Linked DNA regions of Canis lupus familiaris. The protein of the gene in region 3 interacts with the protein of the main gene of each other region in a biochemical or structural test. Links are inferred from orthologs where the notes say so. Each region holds a gene or a part of one and is shown on either strand. Other genes may lie near its edges. The genes, in order: ARF6, ARF5 and RAB11FIP3.

Region 1 (4,275 bases), on a different chromosome or scaffold from region 3:
AACACTTTGAACCCTAATCTTCTCACTCCAAAATCCTTCCTTCAGTTTTATGACAGTGGAAAGTAAGATGGATCAAGGCAGATGGAAAGTAAACTTGGATCAGTCAGAATATTAACAACTCCAGTAAGTTTATTTCAGCTGAAGCTTATAAGGTTATCACCTGACCCATCTACCATTATCAAATATTCTTATATTATGAAACAAGTATGTTATCATATGCTTCTATAGCATCTTCCTTAAAAAATAACAAACCCTATTTCCTGTTTTTCCTCCCCTTGGTTCCTTTATTTTAGGCTTCGCCTTACTTTAAGTCTAACTTGATCTCTAACTATTTGCTACAAAAAAGTTTCCGAAAGTCTTCCACAAACATTTTGTTATTTACTCTGAAACGGAGTACACAGAGCAAGGTCGGCACTACACTCGGTTTACACATGAGATAACAAACTTAGCAAGGTTAAATGCCTTAGATCCAGGTCACAAAAGTAGTCAGGCTTTCTGACTCTAAACCCTAGTGCTAAGATTATTATTGTCTGGGATTTTTAAAAAAATACTTTATTTATTTGTTCGTTCGAGAGAGAGAGAAAGAGAGAGAGAGAGAGAGAGAGAGGCAGAGACCCAGGCAGAGGGAGAAGCAGGCTCCACGCAGGGAGCGCAATGCGGGACTCGATCCCGGGTCTCCAGGGTCACGCCCTGGGCTGAAGGCAGGCGCTAAAGCGCTGGGCCGCCCAGGGATCCCCTCGTCTAGGATTCTTAAAGAAAAGCTAGGTGGTTAAGTTACTGCTCAACACACTAACTTAAGTATGAAAAGTTATCACCTTAAAAAGTTGAAAACGCAGCAAGGGACTGGAACTCTGGTTAACACTGTCATTTTTAAGTAACAGGGTCTGGTCCCGAAGAGATGTGTAAGACAGGGCTCGAACACCGAAAAGCGGGGTTTCCTGGCAAACCCAAGCCTGGTAGAAGCGCCGCACTGCTTGGCCGACTCCACACCAAACGCGGGCCTCCCACGTGTCTTTCAGGAAATGCACAGAACACGCGGGATGAGGGAGGCCAAGGACGGGCTGGGAGACGTACAAACAGCATATAGGGCTTTCCCGGGTGACTGAGGACGCGCGGAGGCTGGGGCGGGCCCAAGGGAACTCGCTGAGCACCTGGCGGGCACCGACGTCCGGAAGCAGCCTGGGGGAGGCTTTCACCGCGGGAGAGGGCTGGCCGCGGGCCCCGCCCTCGGGAGCTCCCCAGTGGATTTGCCTGCTCTGGTTCGAGAGGGCTGGGGGAGGCGAGAGCGCGCCACAGGGACGCAGAAAGTCCGCGTACAGCGCCAGGCGGGCACGGGTCAGAGTCCGAGTTTCGCGGGTCTGGGGCCTGACCGCAGCCGCGAGGCCTCCAGGCCGCCGTAGCCCCGCCCCCTCGCGCGTGGCGCCCATGACGCTGGGCGCGCGGGCCGCGCTCCTTACAGAGCTCGCTCTCACCGAACGGTCGGCCTTGCTGCGCCTGCGTGATCGGGAGGGGAAGTGAGGCGGTTTCTTCGGCGCCTTTTCCGGCGGCGGCGGCGGCGGCAGCGGCAGAGCTGGGAGGAGGCGGTGGAGGCCAGAGGGAGCCCGCGCTCAGGGCGGCGGCTTGAGGTAACCTCGCGAACTGAGCTGGAAGGACGAGTCACCTGGGCCTCCGCTCCCTTCTGGCCTGCCGGCAGTAACTCCCTTCTTCCTCTCTGTGTCTCTGCAGGCGGCGCACCGGATCCCGGCGAGGATCAATGACCTGACGAGGCGCCGGAGCCGCGCTGACTCTCGGGTGGCCTGGGTCGGTGGTGAGCCCGGTGCTCGTGGACCGGCGGGTGGGCCGGAGGGCTTCGACCTCCCGCGGCCGAGTGAAGAGAAGGCGGAGGAGCGGGAACCGCGGCGGCGCTAGCGCGGCGCTTGCGGGGGGAAGGGCAGTTCCGGGCCGGGCCGCGCCTCAGCAGGGCGGCGGCTCTCCCGGCGCAGACTCAGGGCCCCGGCGGCGGCGGCGGCTGGAGGAATCAAGTTGTGCGGTCGGTGATGCCCGAGTGAGTGGCGAGCCTGGGCCTCTGCCCCGAGGAGGCAACTCCCACGCAGGCCGCACGGGCGCCCTCGCGGCCGGGAGGCTTCGTTTCGGTTTCGCGGCGGCTGCGGCGTAGTTGGCTGAGGGGACCCGGGACACCTGAATGCCCCCGGCCCCGGCTCCTCCGACGCGATGGGGAAGGTGCTATCCAAGATCTTCGGGAACAAGGAAATGCGGATCCTCATGTTGGGCCTGGACGCGGCCGGCAAGACAACAATCCTGTACAAGTTGAAGCTGGGCCAGTCGGTGACCACCATTCCCACAGTGGGTTTCAACGTGGAGACCGTGACTTACAAAAACGTCAAGTTCAACGTATGGGATGTGGGCGGCCAGGACAAGATCCGGCCGCTCTGGCGGCATTACTACACCGGGACCCAGGGTCTGATCTTCGTAGTGGACTGCGCCGACCGCGACCGCATCGACGAGGCCCGCCAGGAGCTGCACCGCATTATCAATGACCGGGAGATGAGGGACGCCATAATCCTCATCTTCGCCAACAAACAGGACCTGCCTGATGCCATGAAACCCCACGAGATCCAGGAGAAACTGGGCCTGACCCGGATTCGGGACAGGAACTGGTATGTGCAGCCCTCCTGTGCCACCTCAGGGGATGGACTCTATGAGGGGCTCACATGGTTAACCTCTAACTACAAATCCTAATGAGCATTCTCCACCTATCCCCCGGAAGGAGAGAAATCAGAAACCCATTCATAGGATTATCGCCACCATCACCTCTTTCAATTGCCACTTTCTCTTCTTTTGAATTTGAACTCTGGAGTTACTGTTCTACGGTTGGGGAGGGGGGGGGGGTTTAGGGGTTTCCTTTTTTGTTTCTCTTTCTCCCCCCCCCCCCCCTTTTTTTTTGCTTTGCATTAGGATGCTCCGATCTGACATTTGACATGACCACAAAGTGCTAGATGCTCTTACTGACTTCCAGCAAATGGGATGGGGGAAATATAGCAGTTTTTGGTAAAGTCCTTTATAATAATGGTTTGATTTTTTTATTTCGAGAGAATCTTTTTTGCAATGTATGCTTTTTTCCTTTTTGCCCAGTTTCCTTATCACTTGCTGTAGATGGCTTATTTTGCATTCATGCAGACTATGTTGCAAGTCTGTTTCATCTAGTAAACTGAAAATTATTGCTTAATCAAACTGCCGTTTGTCTTTTATATTTAAGGCCTTTACTCCTCCCTTATGAGTTTTACCTTTAACTTAGTAATTTCAAATGTGACCTTTTATATCTAAGACCAGTATAGTAAACTTAGCCTACAGTGGCAAATAATGAGTAATATCATTGTAATATGTTCCAGTTGCACATCAGTATGTTAAACAGGTAATGTAAGAAGTTCTTTGAAATGTCAGCTATTAAGTTCTGAAACATACATCATGCATGAGTAGGGCTAAAACGCAAGTTCCTTATTACATAGCTAACTTACACTGCATAAAAAGATGAAAGTGTAACCCGTCAACAGATTTTTTTTCACTGCAAAAGTTAGCAACTTTGCTGTGTTTCCCTCTTTTTTAACTTTAAAAGTAGACTCTTTCCAGAAAATGGAGCAATAATGGTGTAGGCCACACACAGATGAGATATCTGTAGATATTTTCAGTGACATTGGGGCAAAACTGGAATATATACTTTTACCACATTTCAAATGTCTAAGACCAATACTTTAAAAGTTACTAGAATGTTTACTTTGTTCATTAATAAAAGCGTTTAACAATTCAAATTATACACATTTTCTACCTAGTTGAAAGAATACACATTCCTGTTTTCACATTAGAGCAACTGATTAAGCTGAAGATAGAAGTTTTTTTATAATTGAGTGATCCACATCTCCATTAATTAGAACACTGGAAAAGATGTTTTATAAAAAAGGTATTTAATTCTGTTTGATTGTAGGATTAACTCATACAAATAGATCTCCTGTTGGTTCATTAATACACTATCTCCTTTAAGGAAGGAAATGTGATGAATGAATGATGTGTAGACTTGAGAAATGACAATTAAAGGGGAAGTAGGATGAAGAAAGAACCTACAGATGACAATGAATGTAAACTTATTTTTCTTCAAGGGTAAGCAGTGTGCTCACTGGTGATATCCAGATCCTAGCAAGATTACTTGCTTAGCTTGTTAGGACCCGTAACTAGCTTATCGAGACCACTATGATGATACCTTGAACCAAATGTTAATGCTTG
Region 2 (4,079 bases), on a different chromosome or scaffold from region 3:
AGTTTCTTAGTGGCCCAGATAACATCCAGCTGCACCATACAGACATACAGATATATTATCATTTTAATCTTCACCATAACCTCATTAGATAGGGCAGATATTAGTTTCCTTCTGTAGAAAATAAATGAGTTGTGAGGATTGAAGCTAAACCCTCCAAAAGAGGGGGTGGGTGGGGACAGAACTGAGATTTGACTGAGACCTGGAACAATGGTCCATAGTGGGCATTCAATATTTGTTGAGTGACTGAATGAATAAAGGTTCTCTGACTCTCAGCTCCCCTCACCATGTCCAGTCCCTAAGCAATTGATCCTAGAAGCCTCCTGGCAATCCAGTTTCAAATTGCTTGTCCTTGCTCCACTGAGCAGCCTATTAGTCCATTCAAACCAGCAAGTACTGTATTTATTGAGCATATATTAGGTGCCTGGCACTGACCCACTCTCAACCATAGACACAATTTAAATTAATTCCTGTCTTGCTATTTCCCCCTTGGTTGCTGAGTGGGAAAATTACTTACGAAGCACTTTGAGTCTAAAGCCACAAGAGTTTCATAAATTCCTGGATAGGTGTGCATTAAAAATCCGGGTTCCCAGGTCTCTGGCAAAGTGAAGAAGCTTCAGAAAAGCTGCCTGGATCTACTGAAAAGCATTGTGCCCGGGGCCATCGACGCAAAGGCGTTGTTGTCCAGCATGCAGGACAACATGCTGATTGCAAAACCAAGAAGGCCAGCTAGCGCTTGGACACCCTTTTTCCACCACCTCTCTTTCTCACTCCTCTCGAGATTCTACAGTCACTTGAACTACCTGCAACGCTCAAAGCCCCTCTCTGGGCGCTGAGGGGCCAAAGCAGACTAAGACGCATCACAGAGCTTCCGCTCCCCTAGGAGGGTGGTGCATACAGTGGATGGTGCTAGTTCGCTAGAGCTAACTAAACCAGAAAGCAGGGTGGGCTGGACGCGACAAACCAAAGCCCGAGAGGCCGGCCACTTAAGCTGAGGGTCAGGGGCCGTTGGGGAGCATTGTAAACTTTCCTCGGCCCCGCTCGGGCTGCCGGTGAAGCAGCCACAGATCTGCCGGCCCTCGAGAAACGAGGGGAAACCCAGACCCTTCCCCTCTTTAAGCCTGCGCGGGACGCGGCGAGCAAGCGGAGACTCGCTGAGCTTCAGATTTAGCCCGAGCGGGAGCCTGGGGGCGGGGAAGGGGCGGGGCGGGGGCGGGGCCCGGCCGGGGGCGGGGCCGCGATGACGTAGGGCGGGCCGGGACGCGCGGAGGCGGCGGCGGAGCCTCCTCCTCCTGCTGCTGCGCCCCATCCCCCAGCGGCCGGCCGGTTCCAGCCCGCACCCCGCGTCCGAGCCCGCACCCCCTCCCCCGGGCCCCGCCATGGGCCTCACCGTGTCCGCGCTCTTTTCGCGGATCTTCGGGAAGAAGCAGATGCGGATCCTCATGGGTGAGGCAGATCAAGCGCGCGGCCCGGACCGGAGCGTCGGCCCCCGCGCAGCCCTCCCGCCCCCGCGTCCCTCCGAGCCCAGCTCAGCCGGGTCTCTGAACCCGAGTCACCCGCCGCCTAACCCCCCTGCGGTCACTGCTCTCGGGCGGGTCGCGATCTGCAGCGCCGACCCCGGGGCCTGAGCCCGGGAGCTGCGGGCCTGGGTGGGGTGAAGCTCCCTCCGCCCCAGCCAGGCTGGTAAGAAGGGAGGATTCCGCCCTTGGAGACGACTTTTAAGAGGAGCGCAGCCCTCCTCCTCGACCCCTTACCCCTACCCCTCTCCCGCCTCTCGCCCGCTTCGGGGCACGAGTTGGTGCTCACCACCCAGACTGCTCTCAAGGCCTCGAAGGTGGAGGACAGCGCGCACCTGCAGGCGCTAGGGCTCTCCGCCCCAGTCTCCATCAGCTGTCCTGGCCTCTCCCCTTCCCTGATCTCTAGAGGGCTCCCTCGCTCCCGTCTCCATCCCTATGCCCCTCTCCGTTGCAGTTGGCTTGGATGCAGCTGGCAAGACCACAATTCTGTACAAACTGAAGTTGGGGGAGATTGTCACCACCATCCCCACCATAGGTGAGTTCTGAGGCGAGGCGGGGAGGAGCGGGAGGCTGATGGGAGGCCGCCTCAGGGGCTGCTCCCCATTCTGCCTGAGGCCCTTATCTCCGTGCAGTGAGCTGACCCTGACACCAGACACTGCCACCTGAGAAGTGGGTCACAGTTACCTTTAGTTGCTGGATGGTGCCGAGGCAGGGTGAATGTGACCTAGCCCCGCCTGGTCTGTGGACTGCCGGTCCTCTGCGGTTCTGTTCCCATGGGACTTCGTCGTTGCCTTCTGGTTTTATATGTCTCTGATGAATCCACCCAGATTTAATGAGTTCCTTTCTTTCAGGACTTTGTTCTCATATTTTTTCCCCATTATCTCCAGGCTTCAATGTGGAAACAGTAGAATACAAGAACATTTGTTTCACAGTCTGGGACGTGGGAGGCCAGGACAAGATTCGGCCTCTGTGGCGGCACTACTTCCAGAACACTCAGGTGGGGTGGGGCTCCCCAACCCCCAGAGAAAAGGTGTTAGAGCTCCAAACCAAGATGTTGGCATAGGCCCCCAAGCCAGGAAAAAAAAAAAAAAACCTTAACCTCCTTCTGTTCTCATCTGTAGGCTTGCTTCTATTCATCCTTCAGAAATGGCCATAGTCTTCTGAGACTTAGCCACCTTATGCATCTCCTGAGAAGCAGGGATCTGAGGCCATGTGGCCTCGTTTATTTATTTATTTTTAAAGTAAGCTTTCACCCAATGTGGGCCTTGAACTCACAACTCCGAGATCAAGAGTTGTATGCTCTACTGACTGAGCCAGCTGGGTGCACTCATGCTGCCTCATTTAGCTCTGGTCTCATCTTTCCCTGTTCCCTTGCACTTCTTCTAGCTACACTGCTTGCCTGAGGGCAGAGTCTGTATCCTTCGCAGGGTGTCGCCAGTTTGTGCCAGCATGTCTGCAGAACCTTAGTGAAAATTTACTAGATGAGAAGGTTTAGACACAAAGATGGGGAAAAGAGAAAGAGCCAGACTAGGCTATGTCCCAGGTGAGAGTGATTGCTTGTCTTTTCTTCCTTCCCACCCAGGGCCTCATCTTCGTAGTGGACAGTAATGACCGAGAGCGGGTCCAGGAATCTGCTGATGAACTCCAGAAGATGGTGAGCACCCAGAGCCCTGGTTGCTGAGCCCTCGTTGGAGACAGATCTCTGAGATCTCTGTGCTAACATGAAAGTCAGGAAATAGCTTACAGGCTTTGAATGTCTCCCTTTGTGGATGCAGACACAAGGAGTATCTCACCCTGTTTTGAATTTGAGTTGGGTGAAAGGCATATGACTGACTTTTTCCTTGAATTTTCATGTCTTCATATCTGAGAAGTTGGTGGGGAAAGGAGGAATTATATGTGGTGGAGAGAAATATCATCTTACATTCTTGTTTTCCCATTTGGAAATGTCATTTTGACTAGGGCAAGTCATTAGAAAAAGGGTCTTTCTGGATATAAGTCCAAATGGCTCCAAGCTGATTTATGACTCTGTCTTGTGTTCAGCAGTAGACTACGCAGTATTACTTTTTTTTTTTCCCACAAATCTGGTAGGAGGTAGGAAAGGGTGCTCCCCTACACAGTGGGGAAGAGGAAGCCTGGAGACTCCGCTAGGACTCCAGACTCCATCCCCTTCACCTCCCTCAGCTGCAGGAGGATGAGCTGCGGGATGCGGTGCTGCTGGTGTTTGCCAACAAGCAGGACATGCCCAACGCCATGCCTGTGAGCGAGCTGACCGACAAGCTGGGGCTGCAGCATTTGCGCAGCCGCACGGTGAGGGTGCTCCCTCTCCCAAGGGAGCCACAGGCTGGGGCGGGAAGTCAGGGCATCCCCTTTTCTTCCTTGCTGCTGATCATTCTTTCCTTTTCCCCGCAGTGGTATGTTCAGGCCACCTGTGCCACCCAAGGCACAGGCTTGTATGATGGGCTCGACTGGCTGTCCCATGAGCTGTCAAAGCGCTAACCAACCAGGGGCCGGCCCCTGCTGCCCGGAAGCTCCCGCGTGCATCCCCGGGACAACCAGATTCCCGGA
Region 3 (3,518 bases):
GTACAAGGGGGCCACAGGGACCCCGTGTCCACGGGCCCTCGGCTACATGTGGGCCCTCTCACCCCAGAACCTCCCCCACCCCTGCCCAGCGGCAGCAGCGGCACCCTCAGGGCTCTGCGAGCCTTGGGCCACGGATGCCTCTGTGGACACCCCTCCTGGGGGGCCTCCTGCAGCAAGAGAGCAGACTGCCTCAGGGTCTGGAGGGGAGGCACCCACCAAGCCCCGCTGGCGGGGTGCCGAGGGGCGTCCGTGGCAAGCCTGCCCTGAGTGCTGGTGGCGGGCTGCTCCCTGAAGCTGCTGTTGTCGCGAGCTCCCTCCCCTGAGCAGACCGCGCCTCATCGCTTGGTCCCCGGTTCAAACTGCTGTGTGCTCCCCTCTCCTGGCAGGACCCCGAGCGACACCACACTGTGCATCCTAGCATCCCCGGACTCCCGGCCCTACCAGGACAGGACAGACTCGGGGTGCATGTCGGCCCCGTGCAGACAGCCCGGCCAGGCCACCTCGGGGGTTTATAATTTGAAAACAGACCTATTACTCTTCATTTCTTAATATTCTTGTTAATTTCTACAAAACAACTTGTATTCCTGGAGGCTCCCGGGTCCCTGAAAAGCAGGATCCCTAGAGGCACGCTCTGAGGTTCACTGGGAGACGATAGATTTAACATCAAAGCTTCCAGATACAGGTGGGACCGAATCACCTTTTGCCGTCCACAAACTATGACCCAATACATCTATTTTGTGGCAACTCCAGGGAAACCAACTAGCAAGACCTAGATCTCCGTAACGTCAGCGTCTGGGACAAATTTCCTGACAGCTGTGTCTTGATTACAGCAACAGTGTTAACGGCATAGGAGCCCATGTCAACAGGGTCCTCCTTGGAGCACGGCTGGGGCTGGACTTGGAGCCACACTGAGCTGCGCCCCAGGCTCCCCTCAAAAGGCCCAGCAGAGGCGACTGAGGCCGTCCTGCAGCAGGCTGTCAACACAGCAAAAGATCACTTCTAAAGTGTCCAGGAATGAGGGACCCCTGGAGAGCTCAGCGGTGGAGCATCTGCCTTCAGCTCAGGGTGTGACCCCGGGGTCCTGGGATCGAGTCCCACGTGGGGCTCCCTGCATGGAGCCTGCTTCTCCCTCTGCCTGTGTCTCTGCCTCTCTCTGTGTCTCAGGAATACATAAATAATGAGAGATGAGATACGTGTCTCTGTGTTTACTATCAAATACAGAGATGGCACTCCTGGCCTGGAACCCATGGAGGCAGGACAGCAGCCTCTGCACGGGGAGCACAGGTGACCCCCAGCCAGGTGGAGGGGCCTTCCTGGAGCTCTGGGCACCAGCTACACACACAGGATGAAAGGCTAGTTTTCCCTGCGACAGAGGCCAGCAGCTGTTGGGAGTCAGTAAAGGCCACATTTCCCCCCAGTCTCCCTGGAAGGCTAGGTTCTCAGCAGAACTGTGGGGACCTCCCCCCAGACCCTGCTCTGAAGCGGCCGACTGGCCACAAAGATCCCTCTGCACTCGACTGGGCATTTGCTGGATTCCAGTCTGTGCGGTGGGTGCTGCACAGAACATAAAAAAAACGGGTTGGGGGCGCCTGGGGGGCCCCGTCGGTGAAGCGCCTTCAGCTGGGGTCACAGTCTCAGAGTCACGATCAAGCCCCACTGGGCTCCTGCTCCCTCGACCTCTGCCCCCTCCCCTGCTCGTGCTCTTTTGCTTGCTCTCTTACTCTCAAATAAAATCTTAAAAAAAAAAAAAAAATGCAAAAAGAAAAAGGTTGAAGATACTGAATGTGGTGCATTGGACCCAGAGGCAGGTGAGCAGTCCAACAGGGCTGCCAGCCATGGGGACCCACCGGGAGGGCCTGGCTTGGCCAGGCAGCAGTTTCTAGAGGACTACTCCTGCAAGCTTGCCGACCAGGATGGCTTCCTTCCTACCACAACTCATGTTACCTCCCAGCAGCAGCAGCCCGAGGCCCCTTCTTTCAAGAGCTCACCGCAGACAGCCGCCCTGGGGCCCACAGCACCCCTTCCCGCCCTGTCCACTAGGCGGGTGCTGCTGTGGGAAACCACCAACGGACCCCAGGGGCTTACCTGCACTACAAGCTTCATCAACCACGTGCTCAGTGGACATGCCCATAGGCACAAGCTACTCAAGCACGTTTTCTTCAACTGTCAAGTCGTGGGGAGCCAGCAAAAGGGCTGTCTCCTCCCCGAGCTCTGGCCTAAGCAGGCTGGTGCAGGGAACGGAGAGGGAGGCAAACACGGACGCACACGGGAACCGAGTGACAGGACGGGGACCAAGGCCGGGGCGGCGGGCACATGCTGGACCCCAGGGTAGTAAAGGTGGGTATCGTGGTAACAGGGTCTGAGGCAGCCTCACAGAACTGAGTGCGGGGACACCTGGCCGGCTCAGTCGGTGAAGCACAGGACTCTTGATCTCGGGGTTGTGGATCTGAGCCCCATGTTGGGGGCAGAGAATACTTAGAAATAAAAAAAAATCTTAAAAAAAAAAGGTCCAAGGGAAGGCTCACCTGATTTAAACAGACTCCTGGAAGCTCTTTACAAATGTGTGGGGTTTTTTTGTTTTTGTTTTTGTTTTTTAGAGCAAGAGATCATGAGGAGGGGGTGTGGGGGGATCCCAGCAGAGTCCACGCCAAGTGTGGAGCCTGACGTGGGGCTTGATCCCACAACCCTGAGGTCACGACCTGAACCAAAATCAGCAGTCAGAGGCCCAAGGGACAGAGCCACCCAGACGCCCCTCCAGATCTGTTTTTTTTTTTTTTGGGGGGGGGGGTCCAAGTATACCCAACCAGCGGAGCAGGGACTTGGACCCAGATCTGTTTTTAAAGACGAAGCTTACTTTACATTTCACAAAGCCCTCTCATGTGACTCCTTTAGTAAAATGAGGAAGGCTGCTCTTTCTAGGTGCAGACTTTGCCTCACACGGACTTCCCCATGCAGGACCCACAGCGTGTGAAGGCTGTTTCCACCCGGGGTCGGCGGCAGTGGCTCAGATGGAGGCATGCACACAGCAGGGGCAGAGGGCACCCGACACAGGCTTGGCGCATGCGGGGCAGGGGGCGAGCGTCCCTCCCGCTGGACGAACAGCAAGGCCAGGCACTAGCCAGTTACCTATTCTTTTCAAGGTCACTCAGACGAGCGGAAAGATCCTCGAGGCGGTTGATTTGTTTGTGGCACTGGCTACAGTAAAACTCAAAAGCCTCATCAGTGAGGATGCTGTGCAGCTTTGCAGCAAGCGGGTCGGTGCTAGAGAGACGAGAAGCGTCAGTTCAGGAGACAGGGAGGACCCACCAGGTTATCTGCGACCCCGTGGATGGGCCCTGGCTACGGGAGACGCTGGCTCTTCCTCCGGACCGCTGGGAGCCCACCTCCCTCAGCGCCACCTCAGGACTGGCTGGAGCAGTGGGGGACGTGGCCACACACCTGTTCCTTCCTGCTCAGGTGCTCGGAGGAAACAGGTGCAGCCCATCGGCTCCATTCTAAAACAAAACCCCTTCCTTAGC

What was found.
Region 1: the proteins of RAB11FIP3 (region 3) and ARF6 form a complex in vitro, tested with the Homo sapiens proteins (2 studies listed by BioGRID). The link is inferred for Canis lupus familiaris from reciprocal best matches to the Homo sapiens genes RAB11FIP3 and ARF6.
Region 2: the proteins of RAB11FIP3 (region 3) and ARF5 form a complex in vitro, tested with the Homo sapiens proteins (2 studies listed by BioGRID). The link is inferred for Canis lupus familiaris from reciprocal best matches to the Homo sapiens genes RAB11FIP3 and ARF5.

Annotation. Positions count from the first base shown.
Region 1 is NC_049229.1:26,667,973-26,672,247, forward strand, and holds the start of ARF6 (ADP-ribosylation factor 6), read left to right. Parts: upstream 1-1,463; 5' UTR 1,464-1,625; exon of another isoform or gene 1,626-1,725; 5' UTR 1,726-2,211; coding exon 2,212-2,739; 3' UTR 2,740-4,275. Other genes in the region: uncharacterized protein LOC119876490, read right to left, coding at 816-1,427. UniProt on the Homo sapiens protein: GTP-binding protein involved in protein trafficking that regulates endocytic recycling and cytoskeleton remodeling. GTP-bound form plays an important role in the transport of multiple palmitoylated proteins form the Golgi to the plasma membrane.
Region 2 is NC_049235.1:8,598,619-8,602,697, reverse strand, and holds the start of ARF5 (ADP-ribosylation factor 5), read left to right. Parts: upstream 1-1,270; 5' UTR 1,271-1,376; coding exon 1,377-1,443; intron 1,444-1,968; coding exon 1,969-2,049; intron 2,050-2,401; coding exon 2,402-2,511; intron 2,512-3,096; coding exon 3,097-3,168; intron 3,169-3,695; coding exon 3,696-3,821; intron 3,822-3,923; coding exon 3,924-4,010; 3' UTR 4,011-4,079.
Region 3 is NC_049227.1:40,503,542-40,507,059, forward strand, and holds part of RAB11FIP3 (rab11 family-interacting protein 3), read right to left. Parts: intron 3,262-3,518; coding exon 3,127-3,261; intron 1-3,126. UniProt on the Homo sapiens protein: Downstream effector molecule for Rab11 GTPase which is involved in endocytic trafficking, cytokinesis and intracellular ciliogenesis by participating in membrane delivery. Recruited by Rab11 to endosomes where it links Rab11 to dynein motor complex.